4 linked regions of the Cricetulus griseus genome follow. The main gene of each other region encodes a partner of the protein of the gene in region 4 in a complex. Links are inferred from orthologs where the notes say so. Each region holds a gene or a part of one and is shown on either strand. Other genes may lie near its edges.

The links.
Region 1: the proteins of Pten (region 4) and Sntg1 are in contact, whole or in part, in a crystal structure (PDB 7PC7), measured with the Homo sapiens proteins. The link is inferred for Cricetulus griseus from reciprocal best matches to the Homo sapiens genes PTEN and SNTG1. Residues at the interface, in NP_000305.3 of Homo sapiens: Asp395, Gln396, His397, Thr398, Gln399, Ile400, Thr401, Lys402, Val403; in NP_001274742.1 of Homo sapiens: Gly67, Phe68, Gly69, Leu70, Ser71, Ile72, Lys73, Gly74, Glu77, His78, Ser85, Lys86, Ile87, Ser88, His118, Val122, Leu125, Arg126.
Region 2: the proteins of Pten (region 4) and Pard3 are in contact, whole or in part, in an NMR structure (PDB 2K20), measured with the Rattus norvegicus proteins. The link is inferred for Cricetulus griseus from reciprocal best matches to the Homo sapiens genes PTEN and PARD3. Residues at the interface, in NP_113794.1 of Rattus norvegicus: Asp393, Glu394, Asp395, Ser398, Gln399, Ile400, Thr401, Lys402, Val403; in NP_112514.1 of Rattus norvegicus: Ala599, Gly600, Leu601, Gly602, Val603, Ser604, Val605, Lys606, Gly607, Asn608, Arg609, Ser610, Lys611, His614, Lys622, Ile625, Met659, Leu662, Arg663, Met666.
Region 3: the proteins of Pten (region 4) and Mast2 are in contact, whole or in part, in an NMR structure (PDB 2KYL), measured with the Homo sapiens proteins. The link is inferred for Cricetulus griseus from reciprocal best matches to the Homo sapiens genes PTEN and MAST2. Residues at the interface, in NP_000305.3 of Homo sapiens: Pro391, Phe392, Asp393, Glu394, Asp395, Gln396, His397, Thr398, Gln399, Ile400, Thr401, Lys402, Val403; in NP_055927.2 of Homo sapiens: Lys1112, Lys1113, Tyr1114, Gly1115, Phe1116, Thr1117, Leu1118, Arg1119, Ala1120, Ile1121, Arg1122, Val1123, Tyr1124, Met1136, Trp1138, Glu1141, His1170, Val1174, Ile1177, Leu1178, Leu1191.

Annotation. Positions count from the first base shown.
Region 1 is NC_048595.1:235,603,922-235,607,491, forward strand, and holds part of Sntg1 (gamma-1-syntrophin), read right to left. Parts: intron 2,534-3,570; coding exon 2,476-2,533; intron 801-2,475; coding exon 757-800; intron 669-756; coding exon 627-668; intron 1-626. UniProt on the Homo sapiens protein: Adapter protein that binds to and probably organizes the subcellular localization of a variety of proteins. May link various receptors to the actin cytoskeleton and the dystrophin glycoprotein complex.
Region 2 is NC_048596.1:204,208,290-204,211,859, forward strand, and holds part of Pard3 (partitioning defective 3 homolog), read left to right. Parts: intron 1-675; coding exon 676-801; intron 802-2,082; coding exon 2,083-2,465; intron 2,466-3,570. UniProt on the Homo sapiens protein: Adapter protein involved in asymmetrical cell division and cell polarization processes. Seems to play a central role in the formation of epithelial tight junctions. Targets the phosphatase PTEN to cell junctions.
Region 3 is NC_048595.1:36,019,486-36,023,055, reverse strand, and holds part of Mast2 (microtubule-associated serine/threonine-protein kinase 2), read right to left. Parts: intron 1,161-3,570; coding exon 951-1,160; intron 1-950. UniProt on the Homo sapiens protein: Appears to link the dystrophin/utrophin network with microtubule filaments via the syntrophins. Phosphorylation of DMD or UTRN may modulate their affinities for associated proteins. Functions in a multi-protein complex in spermatid maturation.
Region 4 is NC_048596.1:28,747,688-28,751,257, forward strand, and holds part of Pten (phosphatidylinositol 3,4,5-trisphosphate 3-phosphatase and dual-specificity protein phosphatase PTEN), read right to left. Parts: intron 179-3,570; coding exon 12-178; intron 1-11. UniProt on the Homo sapiens protein: Dual-specificity protein phosphatase, dephosphorylating tyrosine-, serine- and threonine-phosphorylated proteins.

The sequences.
Region 1 (3,570 bases), on a different chromosome or scaffold from region 4:
TTTCAGTAAGAACTCAATGGTATTTATTTAATTGTGACCAACATTTCCCCAGATGTCTACCACTTTGATTAAGTTTTATAATGCCATTTCATTATCTGCAATAGAGACTAACCTATCTATGGAAGTATGGATTAGAAGAAATTTACTGTTTAACTGTTTATAAATGTAGCTGAAACTCAGCTTCCATGTCCCAGCTGTATTAAATTAGAATGTTTGTATATGCCCCAACACATGTAAAATCATGCAAGAAACTGCCATAATGAAAATGTGGGTAAATCTACCCTTTGTCTCTTCATCAATTCCTTCTCCTTTTTACACCTTTCTCTACACACACACACACACACACACACACACACACACACTTACAGAACACATTGCCAATTGCCCCAATGCCATTTAAAAATTTACAGAAATCAATACTTTTCTCATAAACCTTCAAGCATTTGAAAAAATTACATGTATACTTCAATTTGAAATACATTTCATCATGATAGTACTTCTAAGTGTATTTTAAGAGTAAAAATTGGTTGAAAGACACTTAGAATTGGTAATATGCTACATTATTTTGTACTTTCATAATTAAATTGAATTTGAGATATGATAGCATTAGAAAAAAGTAAACTCACCACTTCTTCATGTCTGTATTTCCTCACATTAATCCCATTTATCTGCAATGAAAGAAAATACTTAGTTTCAAGTAGTGTACTGTAAATTGGCTTTTGTTTGCATCTATAAAGACAATAATGAGATATATACCTGTAGAATTGCATCTCCGATGAAAAGCAGTCCTGACAGCTCCGCTGTGAATAAGAAAAAAAATTGAATACACCTTGGCATTTGTCAAATAAATAAAGATGTTTTGTCTTAAGGTTAAAACTGTAAACAAGCTATGTCTTTTCTATGGTTAGTATTTCATAGGGTCACACACAATGTAAACTCAAAGTATTAATATGATTTTTTTTCAGTTGCTGGAATAGGCAGACATTTCTTTTTGGTTCTAGAAATTTATAACCTTACAGTTATTAAAACATGGTCAGTCCCCTCCCAACTTTGTGACTTTTTTCCTTTTTCAAAAATGCCAATTAGTGTGGCCCAAATACTTTTGGATGTGAGGCTTTCCAGTTTAGCATGTTTGACTTTTCAGATGATACATTCTGGAAGTGTAACTACATCTTGGAAAGTTGGAAGAATGAGTATGAATGTGATCAAGGCATGTTATTAACAGTTTTCTAAGACGTGTGTGTGTGTGTGTGAGTGTGTGTGTGGTGTGTGTGTGTGAGTGTGTGTGTGTGTGTGAGTGTGTGTGTGTGTGTGTGTGTGAGTGTGTGTGTGTGTGTGTGTGAGTGTGTGTGTGTGTGTGTGTGAGTGTGTGTGTGATGTGTGTGTGTGTGAGTGTGTGTGTGTGTGTGTGTGAGTGTGTGTGTGTGTGTGTGAGTGTGTGTGTGTGTGTGAGTGTGTGTGTGAGTGTGTGTGTGTGTGTGAGTGTGTGTGTGAGTGTGTGTGTGTGTGTGTGTGAGTGTGTGTGTGTGTGTGTGTGTGTGTGTGTGTGTGTGTGTGTGAGTGTGTGTGTGTGAGTGTGTGTGTGTGTGTGTGTGTGGTGTGTGTGTGAGTGTGTGAGTGTGTGTGAGTGTGTGTGTGTGAGAGTGTGTGTGAGTGTGTGTGTGTGAGTGTGTGTGTGAGTGTGTGTGAGTGTGTGAGTGTGTCTGAGTGTGTGTGTGAGAGTGTGTGTGAGTGCGTGTGAGTGTGTGAGTGTGTGTGAGTGTGTGAGTGTGTGAGTGTGTGAGTGTGTGAGTGTGAGTGTGTGAGTGTGTGAGTGTGAGTGTGTGTGAGTGTGTGTGTGGTGTGTGTGTGAGTGTGTGAGTGTGTGTGAGTGTGTGTGTGTGTGTGAGTGTGTGTGTGAGTGTATGAGTGTGTGAGTGTGAGTGTGTGTGAGTGAGTGTGCATGCCTGTGTAATATATACATATTATGTATGCATATTCATTCACATTTGGTCACTTTTCTTAGTGCATTTACAGTATAATATCTCCATGCAAATACCTCAGATTTAGACTTTCCATCTGTCTGTTCTATGCTCTGTTCTATTACTTTGCTGTTTTCTTGATAATTGCCAATAAACACTTGATTTATCTGTGATAGTTTTTAGATGAAGCCTCATATGAAGTGAGTAAAATTGAGAAATCTATCGAATATGGATTTGTCCACTAAATGTGTCTTCATTTTTCGATCTTTAACCAACAGTTCAGATGTGTCTTAATTGTGTCATTTCACATATGGTCAATTAATACATGGCCATTTGAACTATGTGAATCCATCATTTTCCCTTTCTGTTCTGTAGGAGGAACAAGGGAAACTGAAGAACCAGATTTGACTTCTCACTATATGAGGCTTGGAATCCAGGGGAGCCACATCGATACCAGTTAGTGAGCGTGGGATTACAGAGGACTGACCACTTCAGGGTTAGCTAAGCACATTACCTCTTTGCTCCTTGGAGATTTTGGAAATGACAACTGGAATGTTATGTTCTGCACCTCCCTAGAAAGAGACAGTCATACATCATATTTTTAAGTCAGCTTTTAGCCAAAAAATTTAAAAATAACAAATAAACAAAAACTGCAAGCTATAAATATTGCATCTAATGAATACTAAGCAGAATTGAAATAAATTTGTAGAATTTCTTTTAAATAAGCTTGTCCATGAAGCTTGGATAAGTAATGGGTTTTTGTTGGTTGGTTGGTTGGTTGGTTGGTTTTTCAAGACAGGGTTTCTCTGTGGCTTTGGAGGCTGTCCTGGAACTAGCCCTTATAGACCAGGCTCGTCTTGAACTCACAGAGATCTGCCTGCCTCTGCCTCCCGAGTGTTGGGATTAAAGGTGAGCGCCACCACTTCCTGGTGTAGTATTTAGTGGTTTTGTAATGACATTTAATAATTAGTAATAACTGACTATAAAATTTTTATTTCTCAAATAAAATTCATAATGTTAGTAATGACATTCTCTTCAAAATCCATTATGGGAAAGCAAGGCATCTTGACATTTGTTATGTAGGATTCCACACATCAGATATTTTATATATTTCAATTCTCTGACTATTCTATTCTGGCAAACACACACTCTTTCAGTAATTCATTTTGAGTGCTAAATAACCAGAGAGACCTTCTGCCTATACAGATGGATAAACAAAATCATGAGATGTCTAAGTGTGATGGGAACAGAACTACCTGTGTTTCCTAATTAGTATTAGACTCCTGCGTGTAAAAGCATAGGCTAACCAATTATCATCCAAGAATCCAACAGCGGCCCTTGGCTCAAATATGAAAAGAAGGAAGTGCAATAAGGAATCAAAATTTTTATAAAAGCAAATAAACAATTCTTAGAATCATACAGTTTCACCCCAACAGTGTAAGAAGTTTGGGTGTGTTCGGTGATAAACCAAGGACATATATAAACAAGTGAAGTGTTGTGTAGAGACGGAGTATACATGTTTAGCACAGGTGGTTGAAGGGGCCATCTAGAGTCACTGGTGGTGCTCTGTGCTTAGAATAAATAACTCCCTAAGCTGCCCATCAGTATA
Region 2 (3,570 bases), about 180 Mb from region 4:
ACAAAGTTTATACCATGCCCTGTCTTAAAGTTTGAGTGCCAATACAGATGAGAGAAATGCCAAGTTCTTTGAACCGCTTTCCTGCATGCAGTTTTCTTCAGCCAGGAGTGTGGCAGCAGATCACTCACTTGCCAGGTTTTGAAATTCCAATTATCAGACTGTTGTTGAGTTCACAATTCATGCACAAGGGAAGCTCTCTTTCTCTCTCTCTGACTCTCTATGAAGACTTTGCTCTTATCCTTGGAACGTAAAGCACAGGGAGGATAGGCATTCCTCATGATCTGTGTGTGCTGTGAAACAATCAAGGGCTGCTTGCAGCAGCATGCCAGCAGGACTAAAGCAGAAACCTACCAAGCCATCCATAAGACTGTCCCTGTTCAGACTGTGACACCCACTGCCCACTGATTTCCCTCAACAGGCTCTGTTGTCAGCATTTTGAAGCAGACTTAGTATGCACTTAGGTTCAGAAGGCTAATAATGGCAAGTCAGAAAATGGTATCTGATATTGACTGAAAGGGTCAGTTTCTACACATAATTTAGAACCTTGGGAGTTTTTGAATATCAGTAGTGCCCTAGTCCATCTTCTTTTAAGGGAGTGGATGAGCCTGTACCATAGAGCTAAAGCACATGGAAGGAGAGTTACCCCTGTAATTGTTCACATTCTTGATGTTCCAGAACACTGGGGTTGTTAGTCAAGCGGTTGGAGAAAGGTGGTAAAGCTGAGCAAGAAAATCTTTTCCATGAGAACGACTGCATTGTGAGGATTAACGATGGAGATCTTCGAAACAGAAGATTTGAGCAGTAAGTGTTCTAGTGGCAGTGGGGTCCTCTCCCCTGGTGCCAGTGGGGTCCTTTCCCCTGATGGCAGTGGGGTATCTCCCCTGGTGTCAGTGGGTGCTCTCCCCTGGGCACAGTGGGGTCCCCTCCCCTGGTGGCATGATGGGGCACCTTTGTCTCAGGTGCTTTGACACATTATTGAATACTGTACCACAGGAGACAGTTTTGTATGCAATCATCTAGTTTTTTAATCATCTATAATTTAATCAAACTCCTGTCATTCTATATTTTAGAGCCCCCTCTAACCAGTTGAGCTGTTCCCACATTGTTCTGTCCCTCATTTTAGTGTTACAGTGCTGCTGATTTCTCTGCTTTCTGGAAGTCCACCCTAGCCTCACTTGAACTCACATTTCTAGCTTTGTCTTTCACAGTATAAATAAGGAGGGAGACTCCTTTGAGTCACAATACTCTTTCTTTCTTGTGCTTTCTTTATCCTGACCCTTACTAAATTAAAAATAGCAACAGTAACAAAACCCTTTTAAAAATGGGTAGGTGTGACTAGCATTCTTACTTAGAGGTGATACCCGGGTACCAGTATGAGTGGGATCTGCCTTACAGTGGGCCTTAGGGCTCCACAACAGGTAGGATCCAGACTGGGTGGGTGGTGGTGGATACATCATTAGGTTCTGTTTGCAGCAATTAGTGTTGGTGAGATTTTTGAACCAGTTTTGATGATAAGTGATGAGTGGTTAGTTGCCTCCAATATTTCCATAATTATACTATAGAGTATTTCTTTAAAAGTTCTATGGTCCCTTAGTAAGAAAACACTTTTTGCCCTTATTAGTTTCATGGCATAATTCTGTGCAGGGATATCCAACCTTTTGACATTGTGATATGTCCTTGTCATCTACAAATGTATTGGACTGCATTCATAACTACCCTAGATATAGGAGGATGAAGGACTGCAGGTTGGACACAGCTGGGAGAAGTAAAAGCTGTGTATGTTTTCTGTCAGTATTAAGCTAGATTAAAGGTGTTAGCACGTAATCATTATTGATGATTTACAGTGGAGCACACTGTATTTTATCTACAGTCACAGATAGGTTTAGCATTTTTATTTACAGAATGAGAAATTTATATTTGGAGAAACTGTTCTGCTTTTATCAGAGCTTACAAACGTGGTTCATAAATGGTTCCAACAGTCTGTTGGTTCTTGTTGCTTAATTAGTATACTTAATCAAGCTCATGTTATCTTCTGCTCTGCTAGCCTTCATTTGCTAATCTTCCATTCTTTGTCAAATCCAGAGCACAACATATGTTCCGCCAAGCCATGCGTACACGTGTCATTTGGTTCCACGTGGTCCCTGCAGCAAACAAGGAGCAGTATGAACAACTCTCACAGCGAGAGAAGAACAACTATTCCCCTAGCCGCTTCAGCCCTGACAGCCACTGTGTGGACAACAGGAGTGTGGCCAGCACTGTGCCTCAAGCATTGCCCAGAGCACCCAGACTGAATCATCCTCCTGAGCAGCTGGATGCTCACCCCCGACTACCTCATAGTGCTCATGCCTCCACTAAACCACCCGCAGCCCCAGCTTTGACTCCACCGAATGTGCTTAGCACCAATGTGGGCAGTGTGTACAACACTAAGAAAGTAGGCAAGAGGCTCAACATTCAGCTTAAGAAAGGTAGGATGTCCGACGGGGCTTCTTTTAAGATAAGCTACAAGCTGAGGAGAGTCCTTCGAGTACTGAGGTGGGGGAGGTGTGCTCTTTTGTTGTCTCCATCTGTTAAGTGTTTCAGTGCTCAGAATAAAGCCCAGGGCTCTGTTTGCCAGTCACTCTGCCCCATCTTTACCTGTACCCTGTCAAAATTAAAATGGAGGGATTTGGTGGTAAAGTGCTTACTACATATGCACAAGGACCCGAGTTCAGATTTCCAGCATATACATAAAAGCCAGGAATGTCGGGTGTGGAGCCGGGTGGCTATCTTCGTGACCAGCCCCAGTCTAGACAAATTGACAAGCTCCAGGTTCCTATGAGACCAACTGAGAAGACACTTCAAAGTAACCTCTGGCCTATGCACACACATTGTACATGCACTTGCACACACATGTACACACAAATGCAGAAGAAATAAAATTAAAATGTAAAAGTTCTGAATAAGTCACAGCACGTGTGTTATTCCTAGGTTAGGATTTATATATATATTGAAAGTGAGTTACAAGTTTTCTTTTAATATCTAGAACAGACTAGTGGTCTGACTGTCTTAATTGTCAACCATGCCTTTAGCAGGAAATTGGAGGTCTCTATAGCCTTCAGCATGTCATGGGAAGGGGCACCCATTTTTGAGGCTGTCTGAGTCACAGTTGCTAAGAAGCCCAGAACTGTGTTTGCTTTCCCTTCTCCAGTATGTAACTTCTTTTCCTTGAAGGTGACAGATAATGGTGATGGGTGCCACTCAGTCTCCTCCACCATTAAATACCCCCTTCCTGTAGTTGGCAATTCTGTGTACATAGAGAACACACTTGTAGTTGGTCTCCTTCTCTATGCAGTATGATGGCCACACTTGACTTTCAGATAGCCATTGGTGTTCTGTCAAGGATGAGATACACTTGCCCTTCTTTGTATTCCTTTACCTATGTGTTTGAAAATTATGCCTTTCAAATTATGGGTTTTTAAAAATGATGCCTGAGTCTAGTCAGTTCGAAAAGTGGCCGGAGAGCCATCCAGAATGCGTACCTGTGTCCAGCAGCTGTGGACAGCAAACCTTGTAGCTGGAAGATATTACAGA
Region 3 (3,570 bases), on a different chromosome or scaffold from region 4:
CTAGGGAATACCAGCAAGTGCTCTTAACTGATGAGCCAAATTTTCAGTTCCTCCCAGAGACCTTTTTATATTTGAAAGGATCACATCTTTAAAGTTAGAACTTATCACTGTGTCAATGAAATATCAGTTAATGGACACACTCACAGGATAAGCCCTAGCTCTGCTTTCCCTGAGCTGAGGATAGTTGGAAAGCTATGCTGAAATAAATGATTTTCAGTAGAAGACAATTCATATATCCACTACTGTATTTTGTATTATTATTATATGTGTTTGTTTGTTTCTCTTAAGGTTTTACTATGTAGCCTAGGCTTAGCCTAACACTGGCTTAGAATTCACTAGGATATGCTTCAGTCTCCCACGAGCTAGGATTCAAGGTATGCACCATCACATCTGGTCAACCTCTGCTGCATTGTTTGCTTTTGGTAAGAAGTCAAATACCTATGTACAATACCAAAGTTAGTTGGTATTGGTAGACTCCAACTACCAATGTTGGAGTCTCAGGCAGAGTAATGGCTTTGGTTTTAGAAAACCACTCACAGTGGGGCTGGAGAGATGGCTCAGTGGTTAAGAACAGTGACTGCTCTTCCAGAGGACCTGGGTTCAATTCCCAGCACCCACAATGCAGCTCACAACTCTCTGTAACTGTAAGACCTGACACCCTCACACAGACACACATGCAGGCAAAACACCAATGCAAGTAAAACAAAAATAAATTTAAAAGAGTATTTAAAAAGAAAAGCACTCACAGAACTGAGTTCCTCTGAAACTAAGCAGGCTTCTCTTAGTGATGGAGAGGCCTAGGAAGGGATATGAGCTCACCAGCACCAAAGCTGGAAGTTCCTACACACTGGCAAGGAGATGTGTTGGCTAGTAGCTGGGAAGAGTAGGCTCTGTTAATTCTTGAAATTACCTTGTGGAAGCTTTATCAGTCCCCACATCAAGACACTTACATCTTGCAAAAGCTTTTCCAAATTTTCTTGAAGTTCATAGAAATAGTGTGATGTAATGAGGCCACTCCGAGATTTGTCCAGGCAGTCTCGGGCCATCTCAATCACCTGATGATGAATGAAGCTTAGGGTGCCATCTGCCAAGGGCAACACACTCTCTGGAGTGTTACAGGAAATGAATTCAGCTAGTCGCTCTTCCATTTGTGCAGTGGCCTGGGAATAAAAGAAGAGATGATAATTCCCTTCTGGTCCCAGCTTAGCTGCAGCAAATTCCGAAGGACTGGATCTCTATGTGCCTTACTTCCTCATGCTACTTTGGGAAACCTAATGAAAGAAGACATGAAGAGGTCACTTCAGATAAGTCAGACAGACTAACACCGGATTCGAGGCCTCTATCATCTTGGTTTGCCTGTCTCTTGCCATACTCTGTAAGGCAAGCTTTTTGGTTCTATAGACAGACAAGTTTGCTAGTCTCTTACTGGCCATATTTCATGTCACTGTCTTTGTTACACATTCTCTGGGGGTGGCCCAGAGTTATTGTTACTGTTGCTCCTCATGTTACTCAAGCATCATCAATCCTCAGATGAGTCTTTTGCTTCCTCTGTGTCTCACTTGGTCCCCCTGACTGCATAACTCAGTACACAGATGAAGTTCTGATCCTTTCTATGCACTAGAAGTTCTGGCAAGTCAGAGAGTTTCATTGTCATGGGGTTCTCATATTAAACGTGAGTTCACGCTGAATACAACAGGTGCTCAGAGAACATGTATGAATCTGCCTGGTTTTGGAAGCCAGGATGGAATGGAGCGTTTTGAATTGCAATATGACCCTGGCCTAGATCCCCGGCAGAGAAGAATGGAGGTTTGGCTCAGAGCTCTTTTGGGCCCTTAACTCTCTTAGGCTTTGACTCTGTATGTGTACAGAGGGATTTTAAAAAAGTGAGAGCAGCAGGGAGAGAAGGAAGGGAAGGAACCTTAACACATTTTCTCTAACAACAGCCCATCTTATATGAAGGACAAAGGAGTAACTATAAATACCAACACTAAGTGCTAGATGTGTCAAAACACATCTCTGTACAAAGAGGATGAGACATGCAAAATACATTTTTCCAGACTGCACACTCTGGAATTTTATTAGGAAGTACAATAGCATGGCTTCCTAGCTGCTTTCCTGTTCTTCCTTTATTCTTACTCCTGTGTCTACTTCAAGGCTACCATGTGGAGACCAGAGACAACAGATTAAACAGAATAATAGCTAATATTACTGAATACTATGTCCTGCATACTGTTAGAAAACCAGTGCTCATTTATCCTCATATGAGACAGAATCAAACAGGATTCTATTATTATGAATTGTCAATGAAGCAAACGAAGCTCAAGGAAGTTAAATAATCTGACCAGAAGAATTTTGAAGCTAATACATGGAGCAGAGTGAATGTAGACAATCTGGGTCCTTGTTACAAGGTGTCACTGGTGTATGTCAAGAAAGAAAAGCACAGAGCATTTTTGTCATCTTTCTCAGCTGTCATGTGTATGCAAGAGAATGTATAGTTCAAGGTTAGTACTGCTGAGAGCAGCAGGAAGCACATACCCCAGATACAAACACACTGACAACCCAGAGAGGCCTGGACAGAGAGAGGATGAAGGAGGCCTGAGCACCTCTGCCCCCCTTAGTGTCTCTCAGATAGGGCTGTGATTGCTATTTTGATTGTCATCTTGACTACATCTAGAATTAACTAAAATTCAAAAATGGCTGGGCACACCAGTGAGGAATTATGCTTAATTACATCATTTGAAGTGGGAAGATCTACTTCTCATCTGTGTCTCTGACGTGGGAGACACACTTTTCATCCACATCTTTTGAGGTGAAAAGACCCACCTCTAATCCAGGCCACACCTTCTGCTTTGAAGCCTATGTAAAAGACATCTCTTTTTGCCTGTTCGCTCTTACCCTTGCTAGCAAGTCCATTGCTTCACCGGCACTAGAATCTTTGGGATTCTGGTGTAAACTGAAAACCAGCTAAGACACCTGAACATGGATTGAACATCTACTCAATTACTGAAGTTTACATTCATAGGCAGCCATTGTTGGATTAGCTGGACCATAGCCTGTAAATCAGTCTAATAAATCCCATTTCTTTCATTTTTTTCTGTTTTTTGAGACACAGTTTCTCTTTGTAACTCTGGCTGTCCTGGAACTCACTTTGTAGACCAGGCTGGACTCAAATTTGCAGAGACCCACCTGCCTCTGCCTCCTGAGTACTGGGATTAGAGGCATGTACCACCATCACCCAACCCATAAATCCCATTTCTATACAGATTCATTTTTAAAATCATGTTACTCTAAAAGACCCTGACTAATACAGGACTGACTGCTTTCTATAGGAACCAAGTCTACCCTCAGAAGATCAAGTATGAGTACACAGCAAGTGATTCTTGATCAGAATTGCAAATTCACCTGTGATGGCAGGCCAGGCTGGGGCAGGATTGAGTTTGAGGCTAGCCTAGGTTAAATATCAAGTTCTAGAATAGTTCCTGCTACAAAGTAAAACTAACTCAAAAAACCAAACAAAAACCAAACAAGCAAATTTAAAAAATAAAGGAGCATATAGGAAGGGCAGGGGAG
Region 4 (3,570 bases):
CAAGTGCAAACCTTTTTGAGCATCTTGTTCTGCTTGTGGAAGAACTCTACTTTGATGTCACCACACACAGGCAATGGCTGAGGAAACTCAAAGTACATGAACTTGTCTTCCCGTCGTGTGGGTCCTGAATTGGAGGAATATATCTTCACCTTTAGCTGGCAGACCACAAACTGAGGATCTACATGGTTAAATACATACATGATCATTTCACAGGAAATGCCTTTAACATTCAAATTATCAGAAACTATTTTAATGACAAAGTAATGGAAGTAAACATAAAATAATTCTTCATACAGACTGCTGATCTAAAACAAATCAATAGAAATAAACTGGTTTAAAACATAACCACTCATTCCAAGTAGCGATCACTCCTCTTTGAAACCTTATGTAAAGGAATGCAAGGAAAATCAATTACTACTTCATAAACAGTAAGTTCACAGAGATCCACCTGCCTCTGCTTCCCAGGTGCTAGGAATAAAGGTATGTGCTGCCACTCTCTTGCATTTTATTTCTAAAATGTACTCAAATTCATTTACAGCTAGAAAGAAACAGGACACTAATATGTTCAAATTAGAGGACTTATGTGACAGAAAAATATCAATACTAGCCAGGCGGTAGTAGCACATGACTTTAATCCCAGTTCTAGGCCAGCCTAGTCTACTAAACTAGTTCCAGGATAGCCAGAATTGTTACACTGAGAAACCCTGTCTCAAAAACTCATTTTTAAAAAAAAAAAAAAAAAAAAAGGTATTATTTCTTTCAAGATGAGGAATTTTTAATCTATTATGACCAATGACTGAGAAAATGTGAAAGTTAAACCAATCTAAGTGAAATTTCTAAATTATTCTAAATTAATAAATATATAGAGGTCTATGTATTCAACATATAAAACCAGTAACGCAACAATCATATCATAGAAAACGGGACCCTTAACAAAGCACGTGGGCTTATCCTAACATGGATTTACAAGACATTTATCATGAAATCCACCCAAAAGAGAGGAACATTACACCAATAATCTGCCAAACATTTCACTTCTTTGACTAAAGGTTCAAAGTGCAATAAGACATTTGCAAAGCTCCATACAATAACGAAGTTAACATGAAACAAATGAACAAAGCATGGTTTCAATGTTGTGGTAAAAATTATTGGAATAAAATGCCTTATAATCTTATTAAGGAACTATTATTCTACTAGTTCAGAATCAGATACTACAGGTTTTAGGATTTGAAAACTGATGGTATAATCTGGATTTCAACTAAACAGCATCCAAGGTATAAATCTCCAACTGTCATAATAAACAATCGACAAGTTAATTACAAATCCATATTACTTAGAACTTCCCCTAAAAATAAGATAAAAAATGTTTCACTAATTATATTTGTCTTTCTGGGTCTGGGTTATGTCACTCAGGATGGCTTTTTCTAGTTCCGGCAATCTAGTTTTTCTAGTTGCCTGCAAATTTCAAGATGTCATAGATTTTTCTACGTTGAGTAGTACTCCATTGTGTAAATGTACCACACAAATATAGTATGTACTCACTCATAAGTAGATATTAGACATGAAGGAAAGGACAACCAGCCAGGCAACAAAGAGGACCCTAAGAGAGAGACACATGGATCCGTCTAGGAAGGGGAAAAAGACAAGATCTCCTGATTGGAGAGCCCCCCCCCCCCCAAGGAGTAGGGTGGAAGGGAAGAGGGGAAGCGGGAAGGGGGAGTGTGGGGGGTGCAAAAAAGAAGAAAAAAGAATCTAATTGAGAAAAACATTAATAAAACAGAAAAAAATGTTTCACTAAAAATAATTAGTCTGACCATGCTGCTTGTTGGCGGAACGTGAACTTTGGGACTTTGGATTCAGAAAACAGTTCAACACTCTATGCAGAGCTTAATTGGCCACACTAATAGGAACATGGAGGAGGCTAGGTAGTGGAATACCTGCCTAGCACACAAGACTCTGGGCTCCCCCTCTGCCACTTGTGCGTGCGTGCGTGAGTGTGTGTTTTGGGGAGCTGTTGAGTGATTTTTAACTGGGTCTCTGTGGTAGTTTGCATAAGAATGGCCCCAGAGGCACATATATTTAACTGCTTAGTCATCAGGGAGTGGCACTACTTGAGAGGGATTAGAAGGTGTGGCCTTGAAGTAGGTGTGACCTTATTGGAGGAAGTATATCACTGGGGATAGACTTTGGGTTTCAAAAGCTCAAGCCAGGCCCAGTGCCTGCTCTTCCTGATGCCTGCAGATCTATACGTAGAACCCTCAGCTCCTCCTCCAGCACCAAATCTGTCTGCATACCGCCATGCTGGTAATGAACTAAACCTCTGAAACTGTAAGCAATACCCAATTAAATGTTTTCTTTTTTCAGAGTTGCTGTAGTCATGGTATCTTTTCACAGAAATGGAACACTGACTAAGACAGTTCCCTTAGTTGCCTTGTACAATAAAACAGCATAAAGTTTTTTTGAGAAATGAATACACAGAAGCATTTCCTAAAGCCACTGAGAAAAATAATCTCTGGAATGAGTTTCACACTGGGATGGAAGTCCTAAAATCAAAACTCTAATATTATTAAAGTTCTTTTGATTTCTAAGGTACACATCTGAAATATAACCTTTGATATGTTAACTATGTTCTAAAGAAATGTTTCCCAACAAATACATGGGTCATCCTAATTAATACTTATAACCCATACACAACTTTCCTTCACTTAGAAATAGTAAGACAAAATTCAAGTAAGAAAACTGCTGCCAGCTCCTGATAACTGCAGAAACACTTTTTAGTTTTCATCACTAGTTTAATGTTTCACCGATGCTCCTCTTCTTCCTGAATCCACCTCACTCTTCCCTTTTCTCATTCTTTACCCTTTCCTACCTTAACGGCATACTCAGCCAAAAGGCTAAGTTACTATCTTGTTCCTGATGTTTCTCCCGAACAAATATGATCTCCCACCTAGACTTGAACCCACTAAGAATTTAACCACTAAGCATCTTTTTAAAAATAAATAAATAAATAAATAAAAGGTGGGGATGGAGTGCAGGGCATTGTGCTTTCTGGTTCTACTCAAATACTGCACCTGAAACAAAGCCTCTAGCCCCATTACAGAGCTTTCCATAAACAGCTTGTTTTCATTACATTTAAAACAACTTTAAAGCCAAAGTGATAATACTTATGTCTCCAAATTTCAAATGTACTTTTCATCTCCTTTCTGTGAATCAGCCACCTGAGTAAGATCAGCAAAAGAAAAACCAAACAAAGCCCATTTCACTGCTCCAGCAAAATTTGGCAAGTCACATAGCTGGTTTTACTTCCCCCTCCTATATCACAACTTTCTATAGAGTATACAATTGTCCTTAAAACATGGCTTAACTCCCTAAAATCAACATGACACCCATATTTCCAGTCTATTATCTCTCACTCAAGATCCTATAACAGCTAACCACACCTTCATTTCTTGTCCAGCTCGGTTTCCGTCTGTTGTACTGCAGTTCAACCATTTCCTATTGCCAGCAATATTTCCTTCAAACGTAATGCCAATCTAAACTGTACGTGTTCTCCAAAGGCAGACTTTCTCT